Linked DNA regions of Callithrix jacchus. The protein of the gene in region 1 interacts with the protein of each later gene in a pairwise test. Links are inferred from orthologs where the notes say so. Each region holds a gene or a part of one and is shown on either strand. Other genes may lie near its edges. The genes, in order: RBPMS, MGAT5B, RUSC1, QKI, ZNF488, HEYL and CSN3.

Region 1 (3,897 bases):
AGACCTAAGGACCAGACAACAGTGATCTGTGACCAGCTGGCACAGGGGAAAACAGGGTTAAACACCGCTATCATTTTCTCATAGTAGGTTCATTACCTGCTATTTGTAGTAACCTTTGGGCACCAAGAAAAACTGAAATTATGTTCACTGTACTTTAGTTAGTATGGCAAGGAAACACAGTTTTTTGACCATTACCATTTAAATATTAAAAAACAACCTTCGGGCTGGGTGTGGTGGCTCAAGGTTGTAATCTAAACACTTTGGAAGGCCAAGGCAGGAGAATCGCTTTAGTCCAGGAGCTTGAGACCAGGCCGGGCAACCTGCCTTTATTTTTTAACAAACAAACAAACCAACAAACTCCTTAAGTTATCTTACAAAAAAACAAAACAAAACAAAAATGCAACCTACCACCTAAGGGAATGCTGCCTTGTCAGATGAGAGGTCACAATAAAAGCCTATTGCTCGGAAAATGAGTCAGTGACATCTCTATACACACATGAGAACTACAGTAAAGCAGTGAGAGCCACGTCTGTGATGCTTCAACTGCTTGTTACTTCCTTAGTAAGAACAATGAAAAGAACATGGTGAAAACTTCATCTAACATAACTTTAAAGGACCCAGAATATTTCTGCATTTAGAAGGTGTCCACCTAGTTAAAATAAAGTTTCAATTTCTGCTAAATTGAAACTGTGGTTCTATTTTCAAGTTTAAAGTGTCATTATACTGGGAAAATTCAGGTTTTATGTATTTAATGCAGAATCAAAACATTCCATTATATACCGGGGTTCAGTGTATACCATTGGTGTTCAATAAATAACTGGTTTCTGCTTTGTTCTACAGGAGAGGAACAGAGTGAGTAGGCAGCTATTCTGACCAGCCAAATCCAGAAAAATTCTGGACTGTGGAATTCCTGGAATCCTAAGGTGTTCCTATGTGTTTTATATGAAAACAACAACAACAATTAAGCAGCTTCTTCCCAGAGTGTACACATTTTTGTTCCAAAGTCTAAAATCTTTCAATGTTGTGTATCAATGACACTATTATACAAAGTAAACAGACTCATATAAAGACTTTTCCTTGGACCTCCAAGTCATTACCTATATCAGGTATTTCCAACACCCCTCTACATGGTCTGCTCAAAGGAGCAGCTAGCCAGTAGGGTACCTTAAGGTAACACAGCAACACAAAGACCAAACACAAGTTCCCAGAAGCCTCCAAAATGGTACCTGTATTGCAACCAGTCAAGTGGTTGCTTGCCTTTTAGGAAGCATCCTTAACACTCTTAGTGCTTTAATCAGCCCTTGCTCATAGCCACTTAGGCCAACTGCCTAGAGCATGATGGAGCCAGACCTCACAGAGACTCAGCACATGAGGATTCATCCTCAGCATCTGAAACTACATTCTGCTTCCTTTCACCTTCTCTAAGCTTAATTCCCTTAAGTTGTTTAATTTTCCAACATACGAAAGAAGAAACTTATTTACCAAAACAATACTGGCAAAAGTCTCAAAACACACAGCAAACAACATATCTACAAACCAAATACAGGTATATCTACTTAATTACAAATGACTGTAATTTATTCTAACACACATGCCTTTTGGGAAAGCCTTATAAGTAAATTTTTAATCAACCAGAATAAAGGCTATGACCAGTTTTTTGTTTGTTTGTTTGTTTGTTTGTTTGTTTGTTTTAAGCTGTATATCTAAAAGGAAAGCCTCATGAAATAAGAAAAGCCAGGATTTCGGCCGGGCGTGGTGGCTCACGCCTGTAATCCCAACACTTTGGGAGGTGGGCAGATCACAAGGTCAAGAGATCAAGACCAACCTGGCCAACATGGTGAAACCCCATCTCTACTAAAAATACAAAAAAATTAACAGGGTGCGGTGGCGCGCACCTGTAGTCCCAGCTACTTGGAAGGCTGAGGCAGGAGAATTGCTTGAACCAGGGAGGCGGAAGTAGCAGTGAGCTGAGGTGGTGCCACTGAACTCCAGCCTGGTGCCTGGTGATGGAGTGAGAATCTGTCTCAAAAAAAAAAGCCAGGATTTCTATCTGTTCTGGGCGTAGCCATTTAGAGTACAATGACAACCAAGCCAATCTCTCAATGATCTCCTCTGGAAAAAACAAAGCAGCACTACACACCACCATGGGATAGGATGGGGCTGGATTAAAATAAGACCCACATCATCAGATGTCAGGTACTTTGAGCATATCTGATCACAATTCTTGGAAAAAGCTCTTTAGAGGGCTAAATTGATGAATCCCTCTCTCTTAGATTGAGCAGTCATATTCTTTCCACTTGAATTCCCGTCCAAAGAGATTCCACTACTTCCCATCACCTCATATGGAAACCCCCTACAATTACATCATTAATACTTACATTCAAAGCATTCTTTGCAGCTTCTGCTTCTGAGCGACTGTCAAAACTGACAAAACCTACGGGCTGAGGAAAAAAGAGAAATATGAAGAAAAAAAAAATCAGACGATATCTATTTTTCTGGGTTAAGGGTGCTATCAAACTGAAAAGCTAAGACAAAGAAATGATCACAGGCAATGGGTAGAAATAAGAAAGCGAAATACCGAAGAATCATGACTCAGTGGCTTAGCCAAATTTCTAACATGAATCAAAGGGATGGTGAGGGTGGTTCTTCAAGGGCACAGCTGGGGATTTAGAGAATCATAAAAAAAATCTAGAAGTGGTTGAAAGGTGAACAGCAGTGAAGAAGGGAATAGAGGAAAACTTGGGTCGGAGAGGCTCTACTTTCCTAAATCAAATTCACTGTACCTCAGTTTCTTCATCTTTTAAAATGGAAAGAGAACCGAATCACCTTTTGGTACACTGTAAGTGCAAGGAATACAATGATACAATGATAAAACCCCTGGACTCTCACTGCATGACCAAAATGACAAAGTGAACATTCCTATCTCAAATCCCAAGGGATGCCTTAAAAATCTTGTGCTTAATTACGCTGTTCTGAGTAAATACAGGAAGGCCATAACCCCTTTGGCCTCCACACATCTATCAATCCAGAAGGGTGTGCCTCCAAGATCATTCTTTTGATGAAACAGAGAGATAGAACAGTGACTGGAGGAGAGGTGTGTATGCCAAGTGTTTAACTTAAAAAAAAAAAAAAAAAAAAAAAAAAAGAATATAGCTACGATCTCTAAGAAACTTGTAGGAAACTGTCAGAATCACTGACTACCACTTCCATTTTGTACCTTCTCTGTTCCATTCTAGACTTGGGACTCTGCCTTACTTTAGTGGTTTGACAGACAGCATGATCCTTCACTATCTGACATGATGTTAAACAAACTGTAAAAGTTTAACATCATAAAAAGAAATGAGAAAGACTTGGGAATAAAAGTGAATTTAGATAATAAGCCATTATTTTCACTGATTCACCAAATCAATCTCAATAAACTACTGTGTTTATCTTGCTCTGGGACAGTCCCTGAAATTCCAGCTGAAGACTACAGAATTATGAAACATTTTCCTGTGCTAATTCCTAATACATCTCACTCACTCTTAATGTTAAAGACCAGAAAAAAAAAAACAAAACTCAAATTCTAATGTGAATAAAAAAAGAATATCAAGCCCCAGCAACATTCCTGAAGAAAGTAAAAAAGTGATCTTTATATGCCAGTTTGAAATTCTTACCTGTTTAGATGTGAGCTTTATAAGAGAACCCTCATAGCCCTGAAAATAAAGAAAAACCAAATTTAGCCAAAAAAGTAACTGTTAATACCATCTTGTTCATGTAAAAATAAATTCTTTATTGATTACCTAACTTGTCTTACAAATGTCTCCCAAGTTATCTGGGAAAGCAAATTACACACATGCATGTGCATGTGCGCATACACACACACACACCTGTTTGCATTGTTGGGGCCTTTAAAAA
Region 2 (3,897 bases), on another chromosome or scaffold:
CAGGAGGTGGAGGCTGCAGTGAGATCGCACCACTGCACTCTGACCTGGGCTACAGAGCGAGACTCCATCTCAGAGAAAGAAAAATAAAATCAGATCTTGTGAGAACTCACTCACTATCACAAGAACAGCATGGAGGTAACCACCCCCATGATTCAATTACCTCCCACAGAGTCCACCCCACCAGACGTGGAGATTATGGTAATTACGATTCAAGATGAGATTTAGGTGGGGACACAGCCAAACCCTATCAGCTCCCAACACAATTTCATTCTCATAAAGTCCAAAAAACAGGCAGAACTCCTCTATGTGATCAGAAGTCAGGTCTCGACCATCCTTGGGTGAGTAATGACTGTGAAGTGGCATGGGGACACTTGGGGGCTGATCATGTTCTGTTCCTTGATCTGGGTTGTTAGTTGTATAGATTGTTCACACACACACACATCTCTAGTCCAGCTACATGACCTTGGGCACGTGCTCTTCCCTCTGTGGTTCCATCCCTCTTTAGACCCAGACCTGCAGCTGGGGTTGGACCCCCACCCTGACACCCAGGCAAAACTGCACAGCACAGAGCACAGCAGAGCACCCACACCCCTTGCAATTCTGGGCCACTGAGCCTGATCCTGCCCAGATGGGGCCAGAGCCATGGGGTAGGAGTGTTGCCTTGACTCTCCAACCTCCTTAGGGAGATGAGCAGAAAAACCTGAGCCCAATCAAAAATCCCTCCTCCCCACCCCGACTCCCACCTCTTAGACCCCTGATGTTTCTGGAGGTTCAGCTTCCTCAAGGCCTCTGTACAGCCCACCCAGATGGGCACACCCCTTTCCAGGGTGGCACCCAGGTAGTTTATGAATCTCTGTCTACAGCCCATCTTCCCATACACCACTTTTCCCACCAGACCTCCCCAAGCCACCCTTCCAGTGCACGTTTGCAACTGCCCCATCCCACCCCCACCCACCTCAATCCTCAGCCTCTCACACATAGATATTCTGGCACCTCCTTGGTCCTCTTTTGTAAACACGCTTTGCTGCAGTGCCCCCGTTTCAGGCTTGACACATCCATTAAGTATTGATGGAGTGCTCATTTGACAGATGCTGCTGAGGCCCCTTCCCATGCTTTATCTTAGCGTATCTTCGAGATGAGCCTGGGAAGTGGGTATTACCATCCCATTTACCAGAGGAAAATTTGGAGCCTCAGAGATTGAGAAATCTCTGCAAGTCAGAGATGGGATAAATTAACTTACACTCAGGCTTGAATGACTAATAAGTGTGAGATTCCTTCTGAGAGCTTTTGCAAGTTTAAAGAAGTGCATGTGAAACCAGAGCAATGAATCTAATGATGAGATGGCAGATGGCATAATAAGAGCCCCTCAGCAACCGCCCCAGATGACAACCTATTCAACTTGGGATGTCTATGATATTCATTGCCAGGAACAGGGGAGCCAGGTAGCCAAGCCCTGCGAATTCAAGAAGGTGGACTTCAAGGAGAGACTTTGCCAAGGGGCAGGGGAATCTCACAGAGCCAGCCCTCAAACAGTTCCAGAAACCCACTCACCTCAGTTTCCCCACTACCCCATGTTCCTCCTTTAGACCAGTGATCAGAAGAATCCCCATGACACAGTGGGCAGGACTCAGTTCTGACCCCCACCCCTCCTTGGGTGAGATGAGGTACGGAGAGGCCCAGCTTCAGGAGGAGGGCTCCCAGCTGGTCACTCTCATGCCACGTGGCTCCAGCCATGCTGGGTGATGTCCACGTGTGAGCTCCTTCAATCCAATCTCTGCAGAAGGTCACTGCTGCCCTTCTCTGTAGGGAAGCCAGGTGACTCGGCCAAAGGCACACAGCTGGTAGGTGATGTCTAGGATGTAAGCCCAGACCCCCCAGACCCCCAAAGCCCATGCTCTGATCTCCATTCCACTGCCTTGCAAATATTGTGTGGGCAAGGAGTGATGGGGCCTGGAAGGGGGAGCTGTGTCCCAAGGACTCATAGATAAAACATTTAAGCCCAGGGCTGGGCCTGTCCCTACTGTGGCCACAGGCTGGGCCAAAGGCGAGGATATGCATGCCTCAAAGAGACAGATGTCATATCCAGAGACCTCTTACCCCCGACACCCAACTAAAGAAGCGACACTGGCAGCCTCTTCTGAGCCCCGGGAGATGCTGGCTTAAAGGCCCCAGCCTGGCCTGAGAATCCAGGCCAGAGGAGGCCTGATCATCACTGCCAGACCAGAGCCAAAGCACACTGAGGGTCATACAGCCCAAGCCCAGGACCCCACCACTCACATCCATCTACAGGGTGGCCAGAAAGCCAGGAACAGGGCTAGGCTCAGAGGCACTTCCTCTTTGACCCACAAACACCCTCACTCATCTCACACTCCCCTTACCCCACCAAGGTACCTTCTGTGCGGATGGTGAATGGCGAGTCCCCCAGGCGCCGGGTGGAGAACTGGCCTCCTAGAGAGGTCATCAGGAAACAGAGAGTGAAGAAGCCGATGCCCAGGACAAAAAGCCTGCAGAGAGGAAGGAAGCATGTCAGAAGGGCAGGCAGCACCATCATGCCCCAGCGCTCCACCAAGTACGCACTGCACAAATGCTTTATGAGTGAGTACATGAGTGAAGGAGGCAAGGGAGAACGAAAGGGTAGGGGCTGAGCTCCCAGGCCCAGGAGGGCTCCCCTCACTATAGGATAAAGAGAGCTCGACTACAGGGAGCTGGCCCACAGCCACACGGAAAACCACGAGGCAGAATGACGCACACTTAGGCGTGAGGCAGGCGGGCTCTAGCCTCCAGGCAGAGCTGGTTCATTAACAGCTGCAGTCCTCAAAGTGTGGTCCCCAGACCAGCCGCTGGCATCACCTGAGAATCCTTGGAAATGCCAGTGCCAAGTCCAGACCCCAAATGACTGAATCAGACACTCTGGGGATGGGGCAAGCAAGCTGTTTAAGCAAAGTCTCCTGAAGATTCCACTGCATGCTGAAGTTTGAGAACCAGTGATGGACACAGCAGGGCCCGATGCCAGCCAGAGGGCAAGGAATTGGTCCAGGCAAGGCCAACCTGGATCCCATCAATCACCCAGGCCACCCTGGGTGCTGTGCAGGGGCCTTGCTGCAGCAGTCATGAGGTCGCTTGGACACCATCATCCATGTCCACTACTAGATGGTAAGATCTCCATGGCAGGGCCACACGGCCCCGTGCCCACGATCCCCCCAACACACATCTCTCCTAGGCAGGTGCACACAGGGTCATCAGCCTGAACCATGGACTGGCCAGGGTGTCCTTACACCTGTGCCCTCACACCTGTGTGACAGGTGTGTGTGCTGTCCTGGCCAGAACAGGACTCTCTTGTTCATGCTTTCAACACGGAGTTGTGGATTATCTACGAGGATCCAGGCTCTGGGGTAACCCCAGGGGTACAGGAGGGAACGAGGCACAGAACCCTCCCTCCCTCAAGCCCAGACCCAGAGTTCTGCTGCTTCCCTCATCAATCCTAGGCCCAAAACAGGAGCACTGAGCTCAGCAGCACAGCCTTGGGGCTCCTCTGGGACCTTGAACCAATCAGAGGACTTGATGAACTGGCAGAGCTGAAAGGGGCACCCTCCCACCAACCCCAGATCAGGGCGAGGAACCCCATCTTGTGTGGAGCCAGGCTACCCGGAAAGAGCCCCACATGTCATGCCAGAGACCCCTGGGCCTCGCCCCTCCACTCCCCGCCCTCCAGTTCCACGCTTGTTTGTATCTTTACACAAGACTTGTTTTATGCATTTTAATATTCATTATTTGAAATTGGCAGAGCAGTATTTAATTAAAATTTGGTCCATTAAAGAAAACACACAATTGCAGAAGAAAATAAAAAGCACAACAAAATCCCAGCCCATATTTAAAGGAAGCTGTTAAGAGATTTGG
Region 3 (3,897 bases), on another chromosome or scaffold:
TTATCCTTAGTTACATGTGAAGAATTGGTTCTGGGACCCTCACATGCACTCAAGTCTGAGCATACTCAGTCGATGTGTAGGAAAAGACAGCCCTCAGTATATGCGGGTTTTACATCAAGAATACTGCATTTTCTGTTCGGTTAAAAAAAACCCTGCATATAGGTGGACCTGTGCATTTGAAACCTACTTTGTTCAAGAGTCAACTGTCTTTACTATCTGGTCCTTTAGAAAAAAGAAAAACAGCCTGGGCAACATGGTGAAACCCTATCTCTACAAAAAAATACAAACATTAGCTGGGCATGGTGGCACGTACCTGTAGTTCCAGCTACTCTAGGAGGCTGAGGTGGGAGGATTGCTTGAACCTGGGAGGTTGAGGCTGCTGTGCCATGATCACACTGTTGCATTCCAGCTGGGGTAACAGAGTAAGGCCCTGTCTCCTTTCCAAAAAAAAAAAAATTGCCAACCCCTGGCCCAGCATGCTGGCTCACACCTGTAATCCCAGCACTTTGGGAGGCCGAGGCGGGTGGATCACCTGAGGTCAGTAGTTCGAGATCAGCCCAGCCAACATGGTGAAATCCCGTCTCAAAAAAAAAAAAAAAAAAATTTAAAAAAAATTGCCAATCCCTTCTCCAGGCCTCAACAAGTGGTGGCTCTTTAATGGTTTGAGATACTCTGTAGTGGCCCTTTCATCCTGAGCTTGTATAGGCCCTGATGGGTCCATAGGTTCCTTGTGATGTGCAGTGGTGTGGACCTCTGTTGTCATCCCCCTAATCAGCCTGAAAGTGCTTGTGTCCAACAGTTACCACTCTGCTCTCAAAGGTGACTAACCCCTGACCTCTTTTGAACCACAGTTAGGCCCCTTAGCCTCTCTCTCCCTCCAGACCCCAGGGTTCTTGGGTTTTCTGAGGGTGGGTTGACCTGTGACCCTATGTCCCTTCTTTTAGGAGACCATCTAGCTGGCTGCCCCCAACAGTGAGCATGTTGGCTCTTGTGAAGCGGGGGGCACCTCCCGAGACGCCTTCTCCTCAGGAGCTTGAGGTCTCAGCACCCAGGGTGGTGCCAACCCATAGGTAAGGAGGATTGGGGGGAATGCACTAGTGTGTAACCGTATGTTATCACAGCATGGATGGGAGGTAGCGTAAAAAACCCTGGGCTTTAAAATAAGACAGTGCTTAGTGTGCATTGCAGCTTTTCTGTTATCATGTGACACTCATTCGTCTGAGCCTTGGATTCCTTTTTTTTTTTTGAGATGGAGTCTCGCTTTGTCACCCAGGCTGGAGTGCAGTGGTACAATTTTGGCTCACTGCAACCTCCGCCTCCCAGGTTCAACCGATTCTCCTGTCTCAGCCTCTTGAGTTGCTGGGACTACAGTCGCCTCCCACCACGCCAGGCTAATTTTTATGTTTTTAATAGAGACGGGGTTTCACCATGTTGGTCAGGCTAGTCTCGAACTCCTGACTGCAGGTGATCAGCCCGCCTTGGCCTCCCAAAGTGCTGGAATTATAGGCATGAGTCACTGTGCCTGGCCAGGATTCTTTCTATAAGAGGATATGATACATTTTTTGTGGTTATAGAGACTAAACATAATTTTTTTTTTTTTTTGAGATATAGTCTCACTCTCACCCAGGCTGGAGTGCAGTGGCATGATTTCGGCTCACTGCAACCTCCACCTCCCAGGTTCAAGTGATTGTCCCGCCTCAGCCTCCTGAGTAGCTGGGATTACAAGCACCCACCACCATGCCTGGCTAATTTTTGTATTTTTAGTAGAGACGAGGTTACACCATGTCAGCCAGGCTGGTCTTGAACTCCTGACCTTGTGATCTGCCCGCCTCGGCCTCCCAAAGTGCTGGGATTTTAAGAGTGAGTCACTGCGCCCAGCCTTGCTTGTGTTTTAGAGAGATCTGACTGCTATGGGGAAAACAGGACTGGGGAAGAGGTTGAGAGAGATTTAGGCAGACAAGTTAGATTGTCCAGAGAGATCGGATAGAAGCTTACACTAGGATGGTGGCAGCAGAGTTGAAGAGAGAGTACATGGGGGCTGGGTGCAGTGGCTCACGCCTGTAATCCCAACACTTTGGGAGGCCGAGGCGGGTGGATAACCTGAGGTCAGGAGTTTGAGATCAGCCTTGCCAACATGGTGAAACCCCGTCTCTACTAAAAATACAAAAATTAGCTGGGCATGGTGGCAGGTGCCTGTAGTTCCAGCTACTCGTGAGGCTGAGGCAGAAGAATTGCTTGAACCCAGGAGGTGGAGATTGCTGATATTACACCACTGCACCCCAGCCTGAGCAACAGAGAGAGACTCTTGTCTCAAAAAAAAAAAAAAAGTAGATGTAGTAGGAGGAGATCCAAGCAAGTTTTGTTGATGGATTGGATCTGTGGCATGAGATGCCCAGGTTTTACCAGGAGTAAGTGTGGGTAGAAATTGGTGCTGTTTACCACTACAGGCAACATGAAGAGGGACTGGTTTTGAGGGTGAGTCATTTTGTTTGATATGTTGAATTTGAAGCACCAGAGAGGAGTGTAAATAGTGTCAAATAAGCAGCTGGAGTGGGTTTGGCACTTGGGAGAAGGCTGAGACCCCAGATAGAATAACCACGCTGATGAATGGTTCTCAAGTCTCTTCCAGAGCCCAGTCAATATTCACTGAGCTGAATCCACAAGGGCACTATTTAGAGGTGAGGCCTGGGTACAGCTGGGCACCCTCACCTCACTTCATTCCAGTATCTTCCTCTGGCTCCTCTCAGGGCAGTTCGGGCTCTCTGTGACCACACAGCTGCAAGACCTGACCAGTTGAGCTTCCGGCGTGGGGAAGTGCTGCGTGTCATCACCACAGTGGATGAGGATTGGCTCCGCTGTGGGCGGGATGGCGTGGAGGGTCTGGTGCCTGTGGGGTATACCTCCCTTGTTCTGTAGCCCTGGGACCCTTTTCTGCATATGTGTCTCCCTCCTGGTGTTCACTGGGAATGGCCAGTGAACACCATCCCAGAAGCATTTTCCCTGTCTGCAAAATGACATTTCTTCCCACATCTGTTTCTGCTAATATTTAAAATAAACATTCCTTCTTCCCTCCTATGCCCACCTGTAAGGTGAAATCTGCTCTTCTTCCAAATATATAAAAAGGGAATTGCCTTCCATGCAATCCCTTTCCTTTTTCCCATCTGTATAAGGGAATGTCTTCCTTCCTATCTGCAAAATGGAAATCTAGACCTCCTTCTTCATCCGTAAGTGGACTGTGCCAGTACAATACATGCCTCAGCCTCAGCCCCCGAGCCTAGAAGGACCTCACTCCTTCCTGTGTATGGAGTCTTCCCCACTTCGCCCCTCCCACACTGCCTGTGTTGATAATGTACTCACCATGTACTAGGTGCTGAAGCCTGGACACCCCTGGTGGGTGGGCCTGTGGTGATGGTCTGCACCCTTCCTCCTTTGTCCCAATAAAGTATGGGAGATGAATGTGTGTCTTTCACTGTGGGTTTCAGGACATAGGCTATGGGGGAGGGGAAGAAGGACCTCTTATGGGAGACATAAGGCAGATGTTTATTCCTAGCCCAGGTTTGGTTCGTAATGCTCCCTGAATAGAGTAGTCCCCTCATTGGTTCCTGAATCTCACAAGTGCTTCTCTATTCTATGACTTTATCTATTTTGTTAAGACTGACAGGATAGGAGCCTGCATAAATATAGGGGAGGAGAGAAGACTTGGCTCTTGAAATTGTAGTTCATGTCTGAGGTGAAGGAAAGGACTAAAGAGTTATCAGGGACAGTGACTCACACCTGTAATCCCAGCACTTTGGGGAGGCTGAGGCAAGCAAATCGCTTGAGCTCAGGAGTTCAAAACCAGCCTGGGCAACATGGCAAAACCCCGTCTCTACAAAAAATAAATCAACCAGGTGTAGT
Region 4 (3,897 bases), on another chromosome or scaffold:
AAAGGGGATAGACGCTCTAATTTATTTTTTAAAAATCCAACTACATGAAAGTTATCTTCACAGTCCTCACTTTGTTGATTTCAGCTAAGTACTTGACAAGTGAACCCTCACGTTTATACAGTGGCTCAAATATAAAAGAACAATGGAAACTAAATCTTCAGTTTTCTCCAAAAGTACACAGGAGGCATATAAACCTTTACTTCTCTCATTAAAGCACCATCCGCTCAATTCATTTTGCAATACCATCCCCAAATTTCAGGAATTTTAAAAGGTAAATTTTAGCAAAAGTTATTAATGAAAATAACTGAGGCAACATCAAAATTTAATAGCTCCCCAAATTGACTAATTTATGTTTTAGTAGAAATAAATCATAGTACATAATAATAAAAGATTTAATAAGTTAAAATATGAAGAGAGAAAAAAAAAACAAAACAAAAAACCCAACCCTTAAATCTGTCAATGATCATAAACAAATTTAGAAAAGGAAAAGAAACTGTATGCAGATAAGCAATTACATTTTTCCATCAGGTGTGGTGTTGCAAATTTTATGGACACCCAACGCATTTCTTATAGACAAGAACTGCAGAACTAAACTAACCTCGGTCTGCGGTCACAATCCTTTGGTAAGGATGGACACGCATATCGTGCCTTCGAACTTTAGTAGCCACCGCACCTAGTTAAATTGCAATTACCAAGACAAAGTTAGAAAACATTCACAAAGGGGAAAAAAAACATTAACAGCAGGTTTATCAAAATGGATTTCAAATGTTCATTTACTACAAAAGTTTAAGAAATACGTTAAGGCACAGTAGTTTTAAAACTAACCATAATATGTCATGTATATATGCATCTATTAATATTGCATTCATTTCAAACATCTTGGCCTTAACCTATTTTATCCATTCATTTACAATCCCCAAGTTACAGTATTTCACGAACTCTATTAGATCAAAACATATTTAAGCTTTACTAGTCACATATTCACTGAAGTGCCTTTCTTGCAGCAGGACTACTTAAATAATGCCATGTTTAATACTGACAATTATTTGCTAACCTTAAGACCACTTCAAGAGTTTATCACTTAAAAAGGTTTAAAAGCAATTCTTAAAGCCTATAGATTGTGGTTTTAAACTCTGAGTCAATAAGTATGAACTGCAATGAATTAGGTGATTAGTAAAGCAAACAGTATAGTACACTTAGCAGTCAGTATACTACTATACACTCCTTTATAAATTACCATTACTGTGTAATATTACAGGCTAAACCAAATTAATAACATAATTTTACTTTATATCTATGTGCAAAAAGTGCAAGTAAGTCACTGACTGCTAGGCTAAGCTTTTTTCCCCCGGAGGCTGCTGAGACTAAGCATTTGTTAAATTCAGATCTGATGAGGGTTCAGTTAAGACCGTTCTTGAATTCTTAGCCTTTCGTTGGGAAAGCCATACCTAAAGATAAAAGGAAGGGAATTAAAAATTAGTTATCAATGAAGATTTGATGCTAATACCAATCTCCTCACTACTACCAACACACATGTCTGCATCTGTTTTGAAGGGCACTGCTTATTTTAAAATAATTTAATGTGAGACGTGACATAAATAGCATGCATGTTATCTGTGTGCAAATTTATTATAACTTAGCAATTTAAAATAATTTTCTCAGTTCTCCAGGTGGTCAATATCATATTTTACTGCTTAGGTGGCAAGGCAAGAAATACAATTAACCAAAATAGATTTTTTTCATTTGGCACTCATTATTATTCACCTTATGAATGCCAATTAGGGATATGCACATTTTGGTCTTTATTTTGCCAGGCTACTAATTAAGTTTTTATAAGTAAAAATTTTCCAACAAACAAAAGGCATGAAGCTTTACAATGAGAAACAACTTTACTGCAGTGCCTCTTGCGATTTCTAAGCAGTAAACTGGTCCATCACCCTTATTCATTTTAGGTAAGGTAATCAAATACAAGTAAAATTCCATGTGGCAACATCAGGGGGATCTTGCATTGAAAGTGCTGGAACAGCAGCTGGTGGCTAAGAGTCCCAGCCCTGCAGGAAGTCAAGAGTCATAACTCCTCGGGAACAGATGCTGTGGGTGCCGCAGAGAGGAGTTCTGGGAAAAGGAGCATGCATGGGACCACAGGACAGAGTATTAATAGAAAGGAAAACTTAAACGAGGTTACAGGTTACATGTTATTTTAAAAATGCTTCAAGAAATGTGCAACAGAGACAACCCTCTCATAAACAGTTCTGTGGTATAATTCTGACCTGCATTTACTTTATACAATGATTTAAACGGAAAACATGTACAGTGAAATGTATTTGTTCATGAAACAAAGGGCACCTGAGTGCATGCACACACACAGATAACATACAGAGCAACATGGTTTTCTTTACTTGAACAATGAATTTTCTAGTTTAAATCTTAGTGTTCCAGTTCATTAAATATTTTCAAATTTTTATAAATCAGTATTAATGCTGGGGAAAAAAAACCTTAAAAGATCAAAGTCCTAAAAGTCAACAGCATGCATGCAGCACCAAGGTCATATACAATTCAGGAAAAAAGGTATTCAAATTTTGTCTGGTAAAACAAAGGGGTTGCACAGAAACAGTTTGTTCCACATTGACTGGTCGTGTTATAACAGCTGCTGTATTCTAGTCCTTCATCCAGCAAGTCAATGGGCTGAAATATCAGGCATGACTGGCATTTCAATCCACTCTATAAAAAAAAGGCATCAGTAATGTCTTTTTCAAGCACACCACTTTTTGTTCATGTAAAACCAAGCGTTTATATTATGATTTTAATTTGTGCCTTAAGTGAGATTCTGAATTCAGTGATTTGGTATTTATTTAACGATTTCACACGGTACTACTGAAATTAAGAGTTCTCTCTCATGTTCAATATGACTAGGACTTCAAAAGACAAGAAACGAAAAATCTTAAGAATGAAACTACAGTCATGCACTGCATAACAACATCTGGTCAATGATGGACCACATATAGTGGTCCCATAAGATTATAATGGCTATACCACACAGCCTAAGTATGTAGTAAACTCTATCATCTATGTCTGTGAAAGTACACTCTATGATGTACACCAAATGATGAAATTGCCTGACAAGGCAATTCTTAGAATGTATTCCCATTGTTAAGCGATGCATGACTCTATTTACCTGGTCCCTTTCATATTTTAAGTGATCACAAATATTACAAAACACATACAATAATATGGATTTTATAAAGATCTCAAAATACTTTAAAATGGAAGTCTAAACTTTTTCCAACAACTACATAACTCTGTGAGACAAATAAATCTAAGTTTGAGAAATGGAGCTGATGGAGGTGACAGGCCAATGGCGTGGGACCTAAAACTCAGAATGGCATCAGTAATGTCAAATGTAAAAAGTATCTGTTAAAATGTACACAACAGATTTACCCAACCAAACTGAACCTGAGTTACCAAAGTAGATCTGAATAAATTTAAGGTGCAATTATTTCAAAGGGGAACCCTTATGAGAGGCTGAAATAAAACAAAATGTAGTTTTCAGTCTTTCCTAATGGAAAGTTGTCTTGCCTCTCCAAAACTGATAAAATCATTTCAAAATCTGGGGGAGCAAAAATATTTATAAAGAAGAATGCTGTTAAGCCCATGGGGAGAAGAACTTACCTAATACACCACTAGGTTCAATAGGATACTCAAGGATTGATGTAGCTGGTGCCAATGTGTAAGGATACTCATAGGGTGTATAGATTAAGCCAGCTTCGGGCCCTGGAGGAACTATTGCAGCAGTTGGGTGAGGAGTTCCGTTTGGCATGACAGCGGTCTGTATTTGTCTGATCAAAGGCATTATGGTAGGGCCAGCTGGCGTAGGAGTACGCAGGGCAGCTGGTGGGA
Region 5 (3,877 bases), on another chromosome or scaffold:
TTAGTGACCCTGAGTTGGGCCGGGGCCACAAGCCAGTGCTGCTGGAGAAGACGAACCGCCTGGGCCCTGAGGCTGCTGTGAGCAGGGCGGGCCGGGATGTGGGCAGTGCAGAGCCGGCACTGTTAGCAGTCCCAGGCAGGCCCCGATCCGGCCAGCCGCTGTCCCCGAAGGCACTTGGGGAGCAGAGGCAGAGCGCCTTCACAGAGCTGCCAAGGATGAAGGACCAGTGCGGGGATGCTCAGGCCCAGGAGAGGGATCATGATGACCCTGCAGGCCAGCCTGGCGCTCTGCACCTGGCCCAGGCTATCCCCAGAGACCCAGCTGGCAGCACAGTCTTCTCTGTGTGGCCCAGCAGAGCACGAGGTGAGCAGAGAAGTGCCTTCAGCAAACCAACCAAGAGACCAGCAGAGAGGCCGGCACCAACCCCAGTCTTCCCTGCAGGGGAGTCTGCAGGCACCCTGGGGGAGCTGTCTGGACTCTTCAACACCACAGACCTCCCTTGTTGGGGTCGACTTTCAACTCCCAAGCTTTTGGTTGGTGATTTCTGGAACTTGCAAGCATTGCCACAGAATGCTCCACTCTACAGCGCTTTCCTGGGTGACCCCACACTGTGGCTCAAGCACACCCGGGCCCAGGTGCCCCCACCTTCATCATCCTCCACCATTTCGTGGGCCCTCCTGCCACCCACCCTCACTTCCCTGGGCTTGTCCACCCAGAACTGGTGTGCAAAGTGCAACTTGTCCTTCCGCCTGACGTCCGATCTGGTCTTCCACATGCGGTCCCACCACAAAAAGGAGCATGCGGGGCCTGACCCACATTCTCAGAAGAGGAGAGAAGAGGCCCTTGCCTGCCCTGTGTGCCAGGAGCACTTCCGGGAGCGCCACCACCTCTCCCGGCACATGACTTCTCACAGCTAGCAGGTGTCCGTGGAGTGACCTGCTGCATGCATCAGTCAGCCTTTGTCAGAGGGGGGCTCCCTGGGCTTGCCTTCAGGGGGCTGTCACGGTCTTCTGCGGAGTTGCTGCCTTTGGCATCCATAGATGGACAGTTCAGGCATAATTTGAAAATTTATGCACCTGAGTGATGTATTTTGAAGGAAATGAATAAAGCGATGGGCTTTGCAAATCCAGGGTTGAGGCCCTAACAGGCAGGGGGTGGGGGCAGCTCTGGTGCACATGGTGGGCTTCGGAGGCACAAAAGCCTGGATTCGAATCTGGGCTCTTTTACATACTAGCTGTGACCTTGGACAAAGACCTGCTGAGCCCCCATTTTCTCATCTGTGAAATGGAGATGATAGCACTGTGTCTTAGGTTGGCATCTGGGTCACATGACCGGTGTGTGCAAAGTGGCCGGCATTCTGCCTGCAGACCCTGAGTGCTGAGTCAGCAAGGTCTGTGATGGTGTCTATACTAGTCAGCTATTGTTATCAACAAGACCTCCATGGCAGACAAGCTAAAGTCATGGGTCTGTGGGTTGGCTCAGGTTAAGCTGAGCTTGGCTGGGCTTGGCAGCAGGTCTCACATTTGATCATGTCATGTCCTTTTGCTTCTTTGGCTGAAGGGCTACCCAGAGCAAGCATGCATCTCTTGCAGTTATGCCAGGAACGTAAGAGGGTGAGTCTAACAAGCATACCTCAAGCCTCTGCTTGGGTCACATTGCCAGCGTCCTCTCAGCCCATGCAAGTGGCAGGGTCAGGCCCGAAACTGAGGAGTGGAAAAGTGCAGGCTGCCCTTGGTGAAGCTGTGGCAAGGGAGTGAGCATCCATTCCCTCCACAGGAGGGTAAGGAACTGGGACTGGTAATTCCATCCACCACCTGGTCTATAGTTCTTCACATTGTAAATATATGAATGGGGGAAATAGAACCCCCTCCCCACCACCTACACACATGTGCTTTTACCTTCCAAGAGTAGGGCATGTGCAAAAACTCAGCTTCCAGATCGTGAGGCTGGGGAGCATTCCAGGTACCATGTATTATCTACTGTGTTTCAGTCAGTAGCTGCTGTAGGTACCCACATCGGCCTTGTGCCTAAGGATGTGTGGGGCCCAGGCCATACTCTTTGACATTGCACAGGTCAGTCTGATGAAAGCCCTTTGTGGGGAGTTTCTGAGCCAGTGTCGTTTTTGCACTGGTTTCTACCTCACCGTCAGGTTTTGGTCTTTTGATGTGTGGTGTCCAGCACTCCAATGGGGCGCCCAGTGCAGAGCTCAGGCTTGTGGCTGGGAAGAAGGCAGAGTGAGAGATGGGGATCTCAGCCAGCCTCCCAGACTGCTCCTCTTCTCTCGCTCTCCTCTGTCCACCCTTCCAGGCAGCAGCACTCCCTCCTGGCTGCCCTGGTGTCCTTGCTCCCTCCACTCCTGCCTCTCACCACGTACCCATCCATTGTCCACACTCACACAACCAGATCATCTTCTGAAAGTGTAAGTAAGATGATGACTCCAATCCCGTGGCTGTCCTTCACACTTACAGTCCTAACCCCGGCAGGACCTGCCAGCTGCTTTATGAACAAGTCCCTGCTTGATGTTAATTGCAAGCACTCATTTCACTCTCCCTGTGTACCAGGCAATAGCATAAGCACTGGAAGAATACAGATGTTATAGCGAGTCCTACAATAGCCCCGGGAGGCAAGAGCTGTTTCCTTTCCATTTCGACAATGAGTCAATTACAGATAATGCTGTAGCACTTCCAGCGTTTCTGATACTCCCCTCTATACCTACTACCTTCACGGGCTGAGCTTGGCCTTAGGATGCCCATAGGTGGCAGTGGGCAGAGGGGACTCCGCTATACCACCTCGCTGCTGTTCTGCTGTCTGCTCCCGTGTTCTGACCGCAGCTCTTGTGCCATTTCTCAAGCCTGGGCTTCATTCAGCATTTGCTGTCCAGCTCTTGTTGGTGCTGCTCCTGCTGTGGTTCCACGGGGCTTCTTCTCTCAGGTCAGCTCCTTAGAGAGGCCTCCCAGATTCCCCGCAAAGCAGCCCTGCAACCTCTTTCTCTCAGCAGCGTGTCCCTGTGGCTTCCTTCACAGCACATCTCACCATCTGCAAACATCTTTACGTTTGTCGTTTTGTTGATTTACTGCATCCACACTGTCAGCTCCTTGGGAGTAGAGACTGGTTTGTTTACTGTGCATCCCCAGTACCCAGAACAGGGCATTGCATATTGTCAGTGCATAATAAATATTGTGGAAATAATTTCTGTGTGAGAAGCTGGGTCTGAATATGTGTGTACTCTTCCTTTGGCTGTGGAGGGTACCAGGGGGCTGCCGTGCAGCTGGAATGCTCCATGTGTACTAAGCTTCCTTCACTCACCCTGTCTCCCTGGCCTGGCAAGGGATTGAGTGAGTGGGTCTATTTCCATTCATTTATTCAGCATCCCTGGCTCAGCCTCAAAGACAAGTACATGCTGGTGATTTTGTAATGCAGGCAGCAGAGCAGTGGCTGGGGAGAAAGACCAGTCCAGAGCCTGCAAATGTGTCAGGGTGTGAGGAGGAGGAAATAGAGGGACAGGGGTAGGAGGGCCTCACAGGAGAGTGGTTTGGATAAAGGGTACTGAGTGCTTGGCTTGGAGAGGCACTGGGGATGCTCTCCAGCTGCAGTGGGAAGTGTGGTCTGGAGGAGGAAGCCTGGACCTTCTGAGCTCATTGTCTTCCACATCTAGAAAAGGGCAGGGTGCTCCCTGCAGGTGCCAATGAAGCATCTCCATTCTCACAGGGACACTGGGAGGTCCCTTGTTTGCTGAGAAAAGATAAGGAAAGCTCAGCCTTGCCAGCCTCTTTAGGTGCTGTGTTGGAGTGTAATTTATACACCGAGAGGCCGAGCACAGAAGGCAGGAGAAGCTACGAGAGCCTCCCAGTGTGCTGTCCCAGGGGAGGCAGGAAAG
Region 6 (4,391 bases), on another chromosome or scaffold:
AACAATGGGTCCAGGTGCAGTGGCTCACACCTGTAATCCCAACAGTTTGGGAAGCTGAGGCAGGTGGATCACCTGAGGTTAGGAGTTTGAGACCAGCCTGGCCAACACGGTGAAACCCCGTCTCTACTAAAAATACAAAAAGTAGCCAGACGTGGTGGACACCTGTAATTCCAGCTATGTCGGAGGCTGAGGCAGGAGAATCACTTAAACCGGGTGGTGGAGATTGCAGTGAGCCAAATTCTCACCAGTGCACTCCAGCCTGGACAACAGAGCGAGACTACATCTCAAAGCAAACAAATAAAAATTGAGGAGCCACTGAGGAGTTTTAAGTGAGAGATAAGATCAGATTTAAATGATCACTCTGCCTGTAGTGTGGAGATAGGCTTGCAGAGAGTAAAACAGGGTGCAAAATGACCCAACAAGAGGCGCTTGCACTCATCCAGATGAAAGCTGATAGAGGTGCAGCATTGAGAGAAGTGGCGGAGAGGAAGAGGACAGACGTGAGATGTATTTTAGACATAGTGTGGGCAGGTTTTAATGAGGTAGGGGTGAGGAGGAGGAGGAATCAAAGACAGCATTAGCTTTCCACCCAGGGGCAGCAGGAGCGGGTGGGGATGAAGGCCAGCTTGCAGGTTCATGTTCAGATGTGTGGCCTTGTGTCTTCCGAAATGGCAGGGGAGTCACCTTGTTTGTTGTTTATTGGTGCAGTGTCTGCCCACTGGATCCGAGCTGAGGAAGGGCTGGGGTCTGGCTGAGTGCATCAGCACCCACCAGACCTGAATAGAGCCTTAGAAATGTTGGCCAAATGAATGATGCTTTAGTGGACCCAGCGAATCCTCACCTTCTAAGAGAGCTTCTGGAGCAGAAAACCTTAAGAAGGGTTAGCAGCTGGGCTGGAGATTATTTTGGTCAGAGTCTGGGCAGGAAAAGCCCTGGGGCTAAGCCTCTTCTCTGTAATGGGAGCTCCCGGGGTGTGAGCAACCACCCATCATTCAATCGATGCTGCAGAGGGAAGGCCCAGAGTGGGAGGAGAGGCCGAGGTTGGGGGGACCAGGCCTTCTAGGAGGCCAGAACAGTGTACCAGAGCATCCTAGAGGGGCCTGTGACCCAGATGCCGCCTCCCCCTCGCCCCCGGCCGCACTGCGTGGGAGGAGGTGGCAGCTGCAGGCCGGGCGGAGGGCGGGCGGCCGGCGCGCCCGGCCCGTGGGAAGCGGCGGCATCTGCTCTTTCCACGCTAGTTCCCAGCGGCTCCCTCTGAAACCCTACCCTCCCGGCCCGTCCCCGCCGCCGCCGGCCAGTGCCCTCACCCGCCCCGCCCCAGGGATCGGGTTGCAGGAGCCTGAGCTGCCGCGCTGCTGAGCGCTGTTCCCCCACCCCCGACGGCCGCCGCGAGGGGCCAGGGGCGAGGCGGAGCAGATCCCAACCAAAGACCCAGAGTGGGCCCAGAGTGCGTGAGAGGACTTGGCCCGGGTTGAAATGAGCAGGGGGAAAAGGGGAGAGCTTGCTCCTCCTGGGACCCTGCGGCTCCTCCTGGTCCCAGGTCCGCCCGGGCCAAGGAGACAGTCCCTCAACCCTGAAAAATCAGCTTTTCTCTTCCTTTCCAGCCAGATGGCCAGGCCGCTGTCCACCCCCAGCCCTTCGCAGATGCAAGCCAGGAAGAAACGCAGAGGGGTGAGTGTCCGTCTCATCTCAGCTTCTGAGTTGCCCTACAAAATGAATCCCCTGCAGTCTGGCAGGGAGAACCCTGGGCAGAAACTTCACTCTAAGCTAACTGCCTGGATTCAAATCCCGGCCCTGCCAGTAGTTATCAGGGTGATTCTGGGCAAGCCTCTTAACCTCTCTGGGCCTGATTTGCTCCTCTGTGTCACTGGAATAATGACAGGGCCCAGCTCAAAGGGCTGCTTTGCAGGTTAAGTGCATTAATGTAACACTCTGAACAATAGCAGACACACAATAGGCGGTTATGATTGTTGTTCCAGCCTGCCCACCATCCTATCTTCTGTCTCCTCTCTCAGTCCAGAACTTTCATCCCCTCCCAGTGTGCTGGGGTGGGGGAGGGGACAGCAGAAGGATCCCCTTGCTACTGCTGTCTGTCCCTTGTGTCCAGCCCCACTTTCCTCCCAGCATACAGCTGTGCTTCTGCACTGCCTGACAATCACTGACTGTAAGCCCTTAGGCCAACCACTTCTTTCCAGCCCTTATTTTCTTTATCTGTAAAATGGGTCATATCTGTCCTGCTCTTAGTGTTCTGCTACCAGTATTATGAGGGGAGAATGAGAGTGTGTGAATGGAAGGGCTCTGCAGCTGGAGAGAGCAACACCTTAGCTGGGTGTGGTGGCTCATGCCTGTAATCCTGGCACTTTGAGAGACTGAGGTGGGTGGATCACCTGAGGTCAGGAGTTCGAGACCAGCTTGACTCGTCTTTACTAAAAATACAAAAAAATAAAATTAGCGTCGTGATCACATGCCTATAATTCCAGCTACTCGGGAGGCTGAGGCAGGAGAATTGCTTGAATTCTGGAGGCAGAGGTTGCAGTGAGCCAGGATCGTGCCATTGCACTCCAGCCTGGGCAGTAAGAGCAAAACTCCGTCTCAAAAAGAGAGAGAGAGAGAGAGAAAGCAACACCTGAGACTCCTTAAACCACCTCATGACCTCGCAGATTACAAGGTCACCCTCCTGCTGACCCAGCAGGGACCTCCAGGGCCTGGTGTCCTCATTCTGATTGGCTGTGCCCTTCTGTACCAGTGGTTAAACATCTTGAGTATCACCCCTATAGACCAAGACAGGAGATCTGAGTTGTGCTCCCACCTCTGCACTTTCTTGTTGTGTGACCTTAAGCAAATTACTGTCCTTCTATGAGCCTTGGTTTTCTCCACCGTAAAGTAAGACTAGATTGATCTCCCTCACAAGAATACTGTGTGGGTAAATATGAGTTGATGTCTATCGAGGCACTTTAGAAACTGTGGTGACGCACCTGTGAATAACTTCTTGTCGTGACTGTTTAGATCATAGAGAAACGGCGTCGAGACCGCATCAACAGCAGCCTTTCTGAATTGCGACGCCTGGTCCCCACTGCCTTTGAGAAACAGGTATGTGACATTGCTGATTGTGCTAAAGGAAATACTGTGTGGGCGGCAGATAAGGTTCGTTTCTCATGGCATCTCTTGTTGATTGGTAGCGGCTGCCTGAGATGCTGTGGTCATTTACCAATATCTGCCACTGGCAGGGTATAAAGAATGGAAATTTACACTCAGGTGGCTTTATGTCCATCATCCCATTGAATTGACTCCTCCAAATGATCCTGAAAGGTAGGGATTATTATGCCCATAGCACAGGTAAGGAAACTGAAGCACAGAGAGGTGCAGTAACTTATCCCAGATCACACAGCTATTAAGTAGCAGCACGGGAGTGTGTGATTCTCAAGCCACCATCCCTCTGCACTACGGACATTTCCAGAGTGATTTGAAAGTGGAACAGGCTGCTCAGGGAGTGAGCACTCTGCCATCCATCGAGCATGTTAGGGTGGGGGAACTACAGTGAGGAATCAGACAGTGGACTCAGCCACAGAGATTCTCACCCTGTGCACCAAGGCATAGGTCACAGGTCCTCTGCCTTCCCTTATGCTGGTGAGAACAAGTTAGTCATTCCACAGATGTTCACTAAAACCACCACAGGACCAGCCATGAACTAGACCTAGTATCTGCCCTCAAGGGACTCCCATGGAGCGTCTGATCTTCAGACTTCACCTGGGAAGCTTAGGAAGCATTTCCTGAGAGAGAAAAGAGGAAGAGCAGGTGCTCTGGGGATAAGACAGTGAGCTGGATCTTAGGCACATTGAGTCTGAAGTTGGATTCCCAGAAGAGCTGGTTTAGGAGGCATTCTGAAGATGGTGGTTAAAACCATGGAGGTGACAAACCCCTGTGCCGGGAGCAGCAGAGTGCCAAGTGACACAGAAGGGACACTACTGTGTTAAGAGACAGGCAGAGCAGCCAGGTGCAGTGGCTCACACCTGTAATTCCAGCACTTTGGGAGGTCAAGGCGGGCGGATCACAAGGTCAGGAATTTGAGACTAGCCTAGCCAACATGGTGAAACCCCACGTCTACCAAAAATACAAAAAAATTAGCTGGACATAGTGGCGTGCACCTGTAATCCCAGCTACTCAGGAGGCTGAGGCAGGAGAATCACTGAACCCAGAAGTCATAGGTTGCTGTGAGCCAAGGTCAGGCCACTGCACTCTAGCCTGGGTGGCAGAGCAAGACTCCATCTGAGAGATAGAGAGAGAGAGAGAGAGAGAGAGAGAGAGAGAGAGAGAGACAGAGAGAGAGAGAGAGAGAGAGAACCGTGCAAGTCAAGGGAGTTGTGGTTTCAGGAAAGATGGCCGGCAGCCGT
Region 7 (4,574 bases), on another chromosome or scaffold:
GATGTACTTTCTATCCCCTACCTGAGGATTTAATTCTGTAAATCTCTTTTGTAAAGCTCAAGTTCAGTGATTCAAGTTTATATGAGTATGCGAATGATAATAGCTGCGACAAGCTGAAGTTAGTAATTACTTCCTAAATATAATATATACTTAATATATAAAAAGTTGGGGGTATCACATATTATTGTCTGAAATGATGCTTCATTAAAAATCAAATAAGCAGGTATGACACTGTATATACTCTTAGAAAAATAAGGCTAATTTATTTCTTTAAATATTTTAGTCAAAGCCACCATATTGTCATCACTATACTTCTTATTAAAACAATAAAGTTAATTATATCAGTTCTGATTTCTGGAGAAATATAAAGAGAACAGTTTCATAACCTTCCACTTGCCATTCCATCCTACATACTTCTATTGTATTGATCACAGAATTATCGAATTTTAGAAATCTCTAAGTTTCTTACATTTTTTACAAGTAAGAAAATGTAAAGCCCAGGAAAGGGAAATCACTTAATCAAAGTTACACAGGTAGAGATAAGGCCTGGTCTAGAACTCAGCCCTCCAAAAAATATATGGTCATATCACTTTCTAGTCTGAAAACACTGAATTGTCTTCTGTTGCTTATAAAGCCATGCCTAGCTTTTCAACCAGTCATTAACTTAAAGATGTCTACTTTTTCTGCTCTTAACTTTCCTTCTAATCTTATATTCTTCTTCTCATACAAGATTCCAATCAAAACGTTCATGGCTGTTCTCAAGACTTTCTCCTCTACTTGAAATATTTCCCTCCCTATTAAACCCTGCATAGGCAAGCCTCACCTATATGTCATTTTTCCATGCAAAGGCTGCTGCTTCTCTCGACTGAAACTCTCTATTAAAAGAAAACTACTTTTGTGGCATCTTCCACTATTATTCTTCTTACAGTTATTTGTATATGTTTCAACACTCCTCTAAAATTAATGCTACTTATTGTCAAGGCCTGTATCACCTTGATAATCTCAACATTTGATGTAGTAATAATTTGATAATTCCATTAATATTGTCAAAAATAAAATTCAAACAATTTATTTATTTATTTATTTTTAATTATACTTTTAGTTTTGGGGCACATGTGCAGAATATGCAGGTTTGTTACATAGGTATACATGTGCCTTGATGGTTTGCTGCATCCATCCCCCCGTCATTTACATTATATATTTCTCCTAATGTTATCCCTCCCCAGTTCCCTCAGCCCCTGCTATCCCCACCTCCCCTTCCCACCCCCTACAGAGCCCTGTGTGTGATGTTCCTCTCCCTGTGTCCATGTGTTCTCATTGTTCAACAGCCATTTGTGAGTGAGAACATGTGGTGTTTGGTTTTCTGTTCTTGTGTCAGTTTGCTGAGAATGATGGTTTTCAGCTTCATCCATGTCCCTGCTCCAAGTCTGGGTTTTTACACTGTTTGTTAAAATAAATTTTCCACTTCAGCTAAATCTATCTGTAAATCTGGCATTTTTTCTTAATCAAAGCAAATACGGCATTCAAGTCACTCCCAAATTTCTAGTAACAAATTCTTTGAAATTAATTTTTTAAAAATTTATCTTTAGGTGCAATAATGAAGAGTTTTCTTCTAGTTGTGAATGCCCTGGCATTATCCCTACCTTTTTTGGTAAGTTAATTTCATCTAACCAGTTTTATTGACTTTAAGAAAATTTTATTTAAGGGCTCTAACTATACAATTTCTAAATACAGTTATACTTCATAGAATAAAAATCTACATATTTGTTACATTTTTAAGGTTTTTTTTTTAACATTTATTTCTATTATGAAATCCAAATCATTATTCTTTTGGATATCCATTTTGTTCTGTGAATTAAGAAATCACACTTAATCATATATAGGAAACTTTTTAAATTCTCATACTATAGAGAAAATACTTTCTGAGGGAAAAACAATACTGAAAACATTTTAAAACTGTAAATGCATTAAAGATAATCCAGAAAGAATAAATATGGAAATCATAGTCTGGGATCAGAAATTATTTTAATTAAGTTCCTATCTCACCCAGACTCCAATGTCTTTAGGAAACAAAATTTTTCAAAGTTCAACTTTGGTAAAGCTTTTTCACAAGTTCCAAAGACTTTGATAGTTCTGTCTTTAATATTCAAATAATATATTTTGTTATACTCTTCCTCAATATGTCATTTGACTGATCCCTTTCCAGGGATCCCTGGCATTATCTTGAATTATATGTAAAGTTTTAAGGCTACTGGACCTAGAAAATTTCTGCTTCTTTTCTTTTTAATTTCTTGACTTGTTTTTATTGTTGTTACAGCTATTGCCTCTTTATATTTTCATGTTCATCTGGGGATTCTAGGTACTGACAAAGGAGGCAAGCATAAATAATAGTATATGTCCTCCTCCTAGATTACCAAATATTGGAGCACACCAATTCTTGTTCTGTGAATATCTATAATATTTATTTATTATAAGTTTAGACTTGCTTTTAAGTTAACATCTGTTAATTAAATCTATTATCTGCATGTTGTGTTTGTGTATAACATGTCTATAAATTTAATTCTTGGAATCAAAATTACCTTTTAAAACTTTGAGTTCTGGCCGGGCACCATGCCTCACGCCTGTAATCCCAGTTTTGGGAGGCCGAGGCAAGCAGACCACAAGGTCAAGAGATCAAGACCGTCCTGGCCAACATGGTGAAACCCTATCTCTCCTAAAAATACAAAAAAAATTAGCTGGGTGTAGTAGTGTGTGCCTGTAGTCACAGCTATCAGGAGTCTGAGGCAGGAGAATCACTTGAACCCAGGAGGCAGAGGTTGCAGAGAGCCAAGATCATGCCACTGCACTCCAGCCTGGCAACAGAGTGAAACTCTGTCTCAAAAAACAACTTTGAATGCTGTAACTCAAATACTTTGTGGCCACCTGAACATTTACAAATTAGGTTTTCTCTTTGAGTAACAGGCTTGAAGTTTAAATCATAAAATGATCTACAACCCCCTGCTGCAAGCTACCTCTTTCCTGAGCTCCTGAGCCAGATTTGTGCCTCAAACATTCCTTCCCATTTTCCCAAAGGCTGCAGGCCTCAAAGACAGGAACAAATAATACAGAAAAAAAAAATAAAGTTCATAGATTTTATTATTCTATCTTATGAGTAGTCAAAATTATACAAATTTAAACATCATTGTGATACCATGTTGTATGTGCTCTTTTACCCCTTCCCCAGAATAAAAATAGTCAGATAAAATTTTTACTAGCAATTATGCACTGAACTGCATAAACATGAAGCCTACTGGTGGCATAATTTGGCAGTATTCTGTACCATGATTTGATGATTTCTATTCAAGAATCCCTGAAAAAATCTCATTTGTGAAAAATCATTTTATGGAAGCAATGAAAATTATTTAAAAAGGCTACTTGTATACAGATGTCATTCAACTCTCTCTTTATAATTAAAATTTTATCTTAAATAGATAAGAAATAAACATTTCATGACATAATCATTGATTATTTAGTTATCAACTATAAAAACCTAAGTATGAAACCTATGACAGAAATGAAAAAATAATATGAAATATCACACTTTTATAAAAATGAAGGATACTTTTTAGACAAGCATATATAAGGAATACCTGACATAGGTTGATATTACATTAATATATCTAGATTGTCAGAATTTTTGAAGTAAACATTTTGTAATGTTCATATTACTTCTTTTTTAGGCAGAGGGGAGAGTCTTGCTCTGTCACCCAGGCTGGGGTGCAGTGATGCGCTCTCTTGTCACTGCAACCGCCACCTCCCAGGTTCAAGCAATTCTCCTGCCTCAGTCTCCTGAGCAGCTGGGATTACAGGCGTGCACCACCATGCCCAGCTAATTTTTGTATTTTTAATATAGGCAGGGTTTCACCAAGTTGACCAGGCTGGTCTGGGACCCATGACCTCAGATGATCCGCCCACCTCTACCTCTCAAAAGTGCTGGGATTATAGGGTGAGCCACTGAGCCCAGCCTCATATTACTTCTTTTTATTTTAAACTAATGGTTTAATATATTTAGAGAAAAGCAAGACTTTGTCTCAAAGCAAAAAAATTTATTGCCTTCTTAATTTCTGATTTTCTGTGCTCACACTTTCCAAAAGGTTTCTAGAGTCATTTTATACCCAAGAAATAGATGTGAAATATCCTAAACCTCTTTTCAAGAGTTTCTAAAAGCTTTGGAGTTTTTAGAGTTTTATAAATACTTGTCCATAAAAATTGTTTTCTCACTCCTGATTCTCTAAATATGTTACCATCCAAAACTAAGAAAAGCACTATAAAAAAAAAACAAAAGAAAGATGGTTTTAAAAACACTATTATTTGTATGTTAAGGTTATGCAAGAGGCAATATTTTAAATCTTCTAAGTAAACCTTAGGAATCATCTTAGTATGAAAGCAGAGAAAGAAAAAAAGGCTCAATGCTCCTCTAACTTTTAACAATGTATATTTAATAAAAACTGAATAGAAACTGTTCATATTTAAGCAAATTGTGTATTTGTTGGCAAGGGGGTCAGATGACTAGATTTTTCCAACAGAGACTTTTT

Evidence for each region.
Region 2: the proteins of RBPMS (region 1) and MGAT5B interact in a two-hybrid assay, tested with the Homo sapiens proteins (2 studies listed by BioGRID and IntAct). The two-hybrid records come from large-scale screens. The link is inferred for Callithrix jacchus from reciprocal best matches to the Homo sapiens genes RBPMS and MGAT5B.
Region 3: the proteins of RBPMS (region 1) and RUSC1 interact in binary tests that used the Homo sapiens proteins (3 or more experiments, as listed by UniProt). The two-hybrid records come from large-scale screens. The link is inferred for Callithrix jacchus from reciprocal best matches to the Homo sapiens genes RBPMS and RUSC1.
Region 4: the proteins of RBPMS (region 1) and QKI interact in binary tests that used the Homo sapiens proteins (3 or more experiments, as listed by UniProt). The link is inferred for Callithrix jacchus from reciprocal best matches to the Homo sapiens genes RBPMS and QKI.
Region 5: the proteins of RBPMS (region 1) and ZNF488 interact in binary tests that used the Homo sapiens proteins (3 or more experiments, as listed by UniProt). The two-hybrid records come from large-scale screens. The link is inferred for Callithrix jacchus from reciprocal best matches to the Homo sapiens genes RBPMS and ZNF488.
Region 6: the proteins of RBPMS (region 1) and HEYL interact in binary tests that used the Homo sapiens proteins (3 or more experiments, as listed by UniProt). The two-hybrid records come from large-scale screens. The link is inferred for Callithrix jacchus from reciprocal best matches to the Homo sapiens genes RBPMS and HEYL.
Region 7: the proteins of RBPMS (region 1) and CSN3 interact in binary tests that used the Homo sapiens proteins (3 or more experiments, as listed by UniProt). The two-hybrid records come from large-scale screens. The link is inferred for Callithrix jacchus from reciprocal best matches to the Homo sapiens genes RBPMS and CSN3.

Annotation. Positions count from the first base shown.
Region 1 is NC_133514.1:31,625,692-31,629,588, reverse strand, and holds part of RBPMS (RNA-binding protein with multiple splicing), read right to left. Parts: intron 3,696-3,897; coding exon 3,657-3,695; intron 2,442-3,656; coding exon 2,379-2,441; intron 1-2,378.
Region 2 is NC_133506.1:132,718,854-132,722,750, reverse strand, and holds part of MGAT5B (alpha-1,6-mannosylglycoprotein 6-beta-N-acetylglucosaminyltransferase B), read right to left. Parts: intron 2,700-3,897; exon of another isoform or gene 2,606-2,699; coding exon of another isoform or gene 2,505-2,605; coding exon 2,392-2,504; intron 1-2,391. UniProt on the Homo sapiens protein: Glycosyltransferase that acts on alpha-linked mannose of N-glycans and O-mannosyl glycans.
Region 3 is NC_133519.1:15,756,254-15,760,150, forward strand, and holds the end of RUSC1 (AP-4 complex accessory subunit RUSC1), read left to right. Parts: intron 1-944; coding exon 945-1,070; intron 1,071-2,747; coding exon 2,748-2,916; 3' UTR 2,917-3,456; downstream 3,457-3,897. UniProt on the Homo sapiens protein: Associates with the adapter-like complex 4 (AP-4) and may therefore play a role in vesicular trafficking of proteins at the trans-Golgi network. Signaling adapter which plays a role in neuronal differentiation.
Region 4 is NC_133505.1:170,109,532-170,113,428, reverse strand, and holds part of QKI (KH domain-containing RNA-binding protein QKI), read right to left. Parts: coding exon 3,670-3,897; intron 2,722-3,669; coding exon of another isoform or gene 2,678-2,721; exon of another isoform or gene 1,449-2,677; coding exon of another isoform or gene 1,423-1,448; exon of another isoform or gene 674-1,422; coding exon 599-673; exon of another isoform or gene 1-598. UniProt on the Homo sapiens protein: RNA reader protein, which recognizes and binds specific RNAs, thereby regulating RNA metabolic processes, such as pre-mRNA splicing, circular RNA (circRNA) formation, mRNA export, mRNA stability and/or translation.
Region 5 is NC_133513.1:41,225,573-41,229,449, reverse strand, and holds the end of ZNF488 (zinc finger protein 488), read left to right. Parts: coding exon 1-917; 3' UTR 918-3,189; downstream 3,190-3,877. UniProt on the Homo sapiens protein: Transcriptional repressor. Plays a role in oligodendrocyte differentiation, together with OLIG2. Mediates Notch signaling-activated formation of oligodendrocyte precursors.
Region 6 is NC_133508.1:76,171,875-76,176,265, reverse strand, and holds the start of HEYL (hairy/enhancer-of-split related with YRPW motif-like protein), read left to right. Parts: upstream 1-1,372; 5' UTR 1,373-1,476; coding exon 1,477-1,671; intron 1,672-3,006; coding exon 3,007-3,090; intron 3,091-4,391. UniProt on the Homo sapiens protein: Downstream effector of Notch signaling which may be required for cardiovascular development. Transcriptional repressor which binds preferentially to the canonical E box sequence 5'-CACGTG-3'.
Region 7 is NC_133504.1:127,884,759-127,889,332, reverse strand, and holds the start of CSN3 (kappa-casein), read left to right. Parts: upstream 1-1,597; coding exon 1,598-1,651; intron 1,652-4,574. UniProt on the Homo sapiens protein: Kappa-casein stabilizes micelle formation, preventing casein precipitation in milk.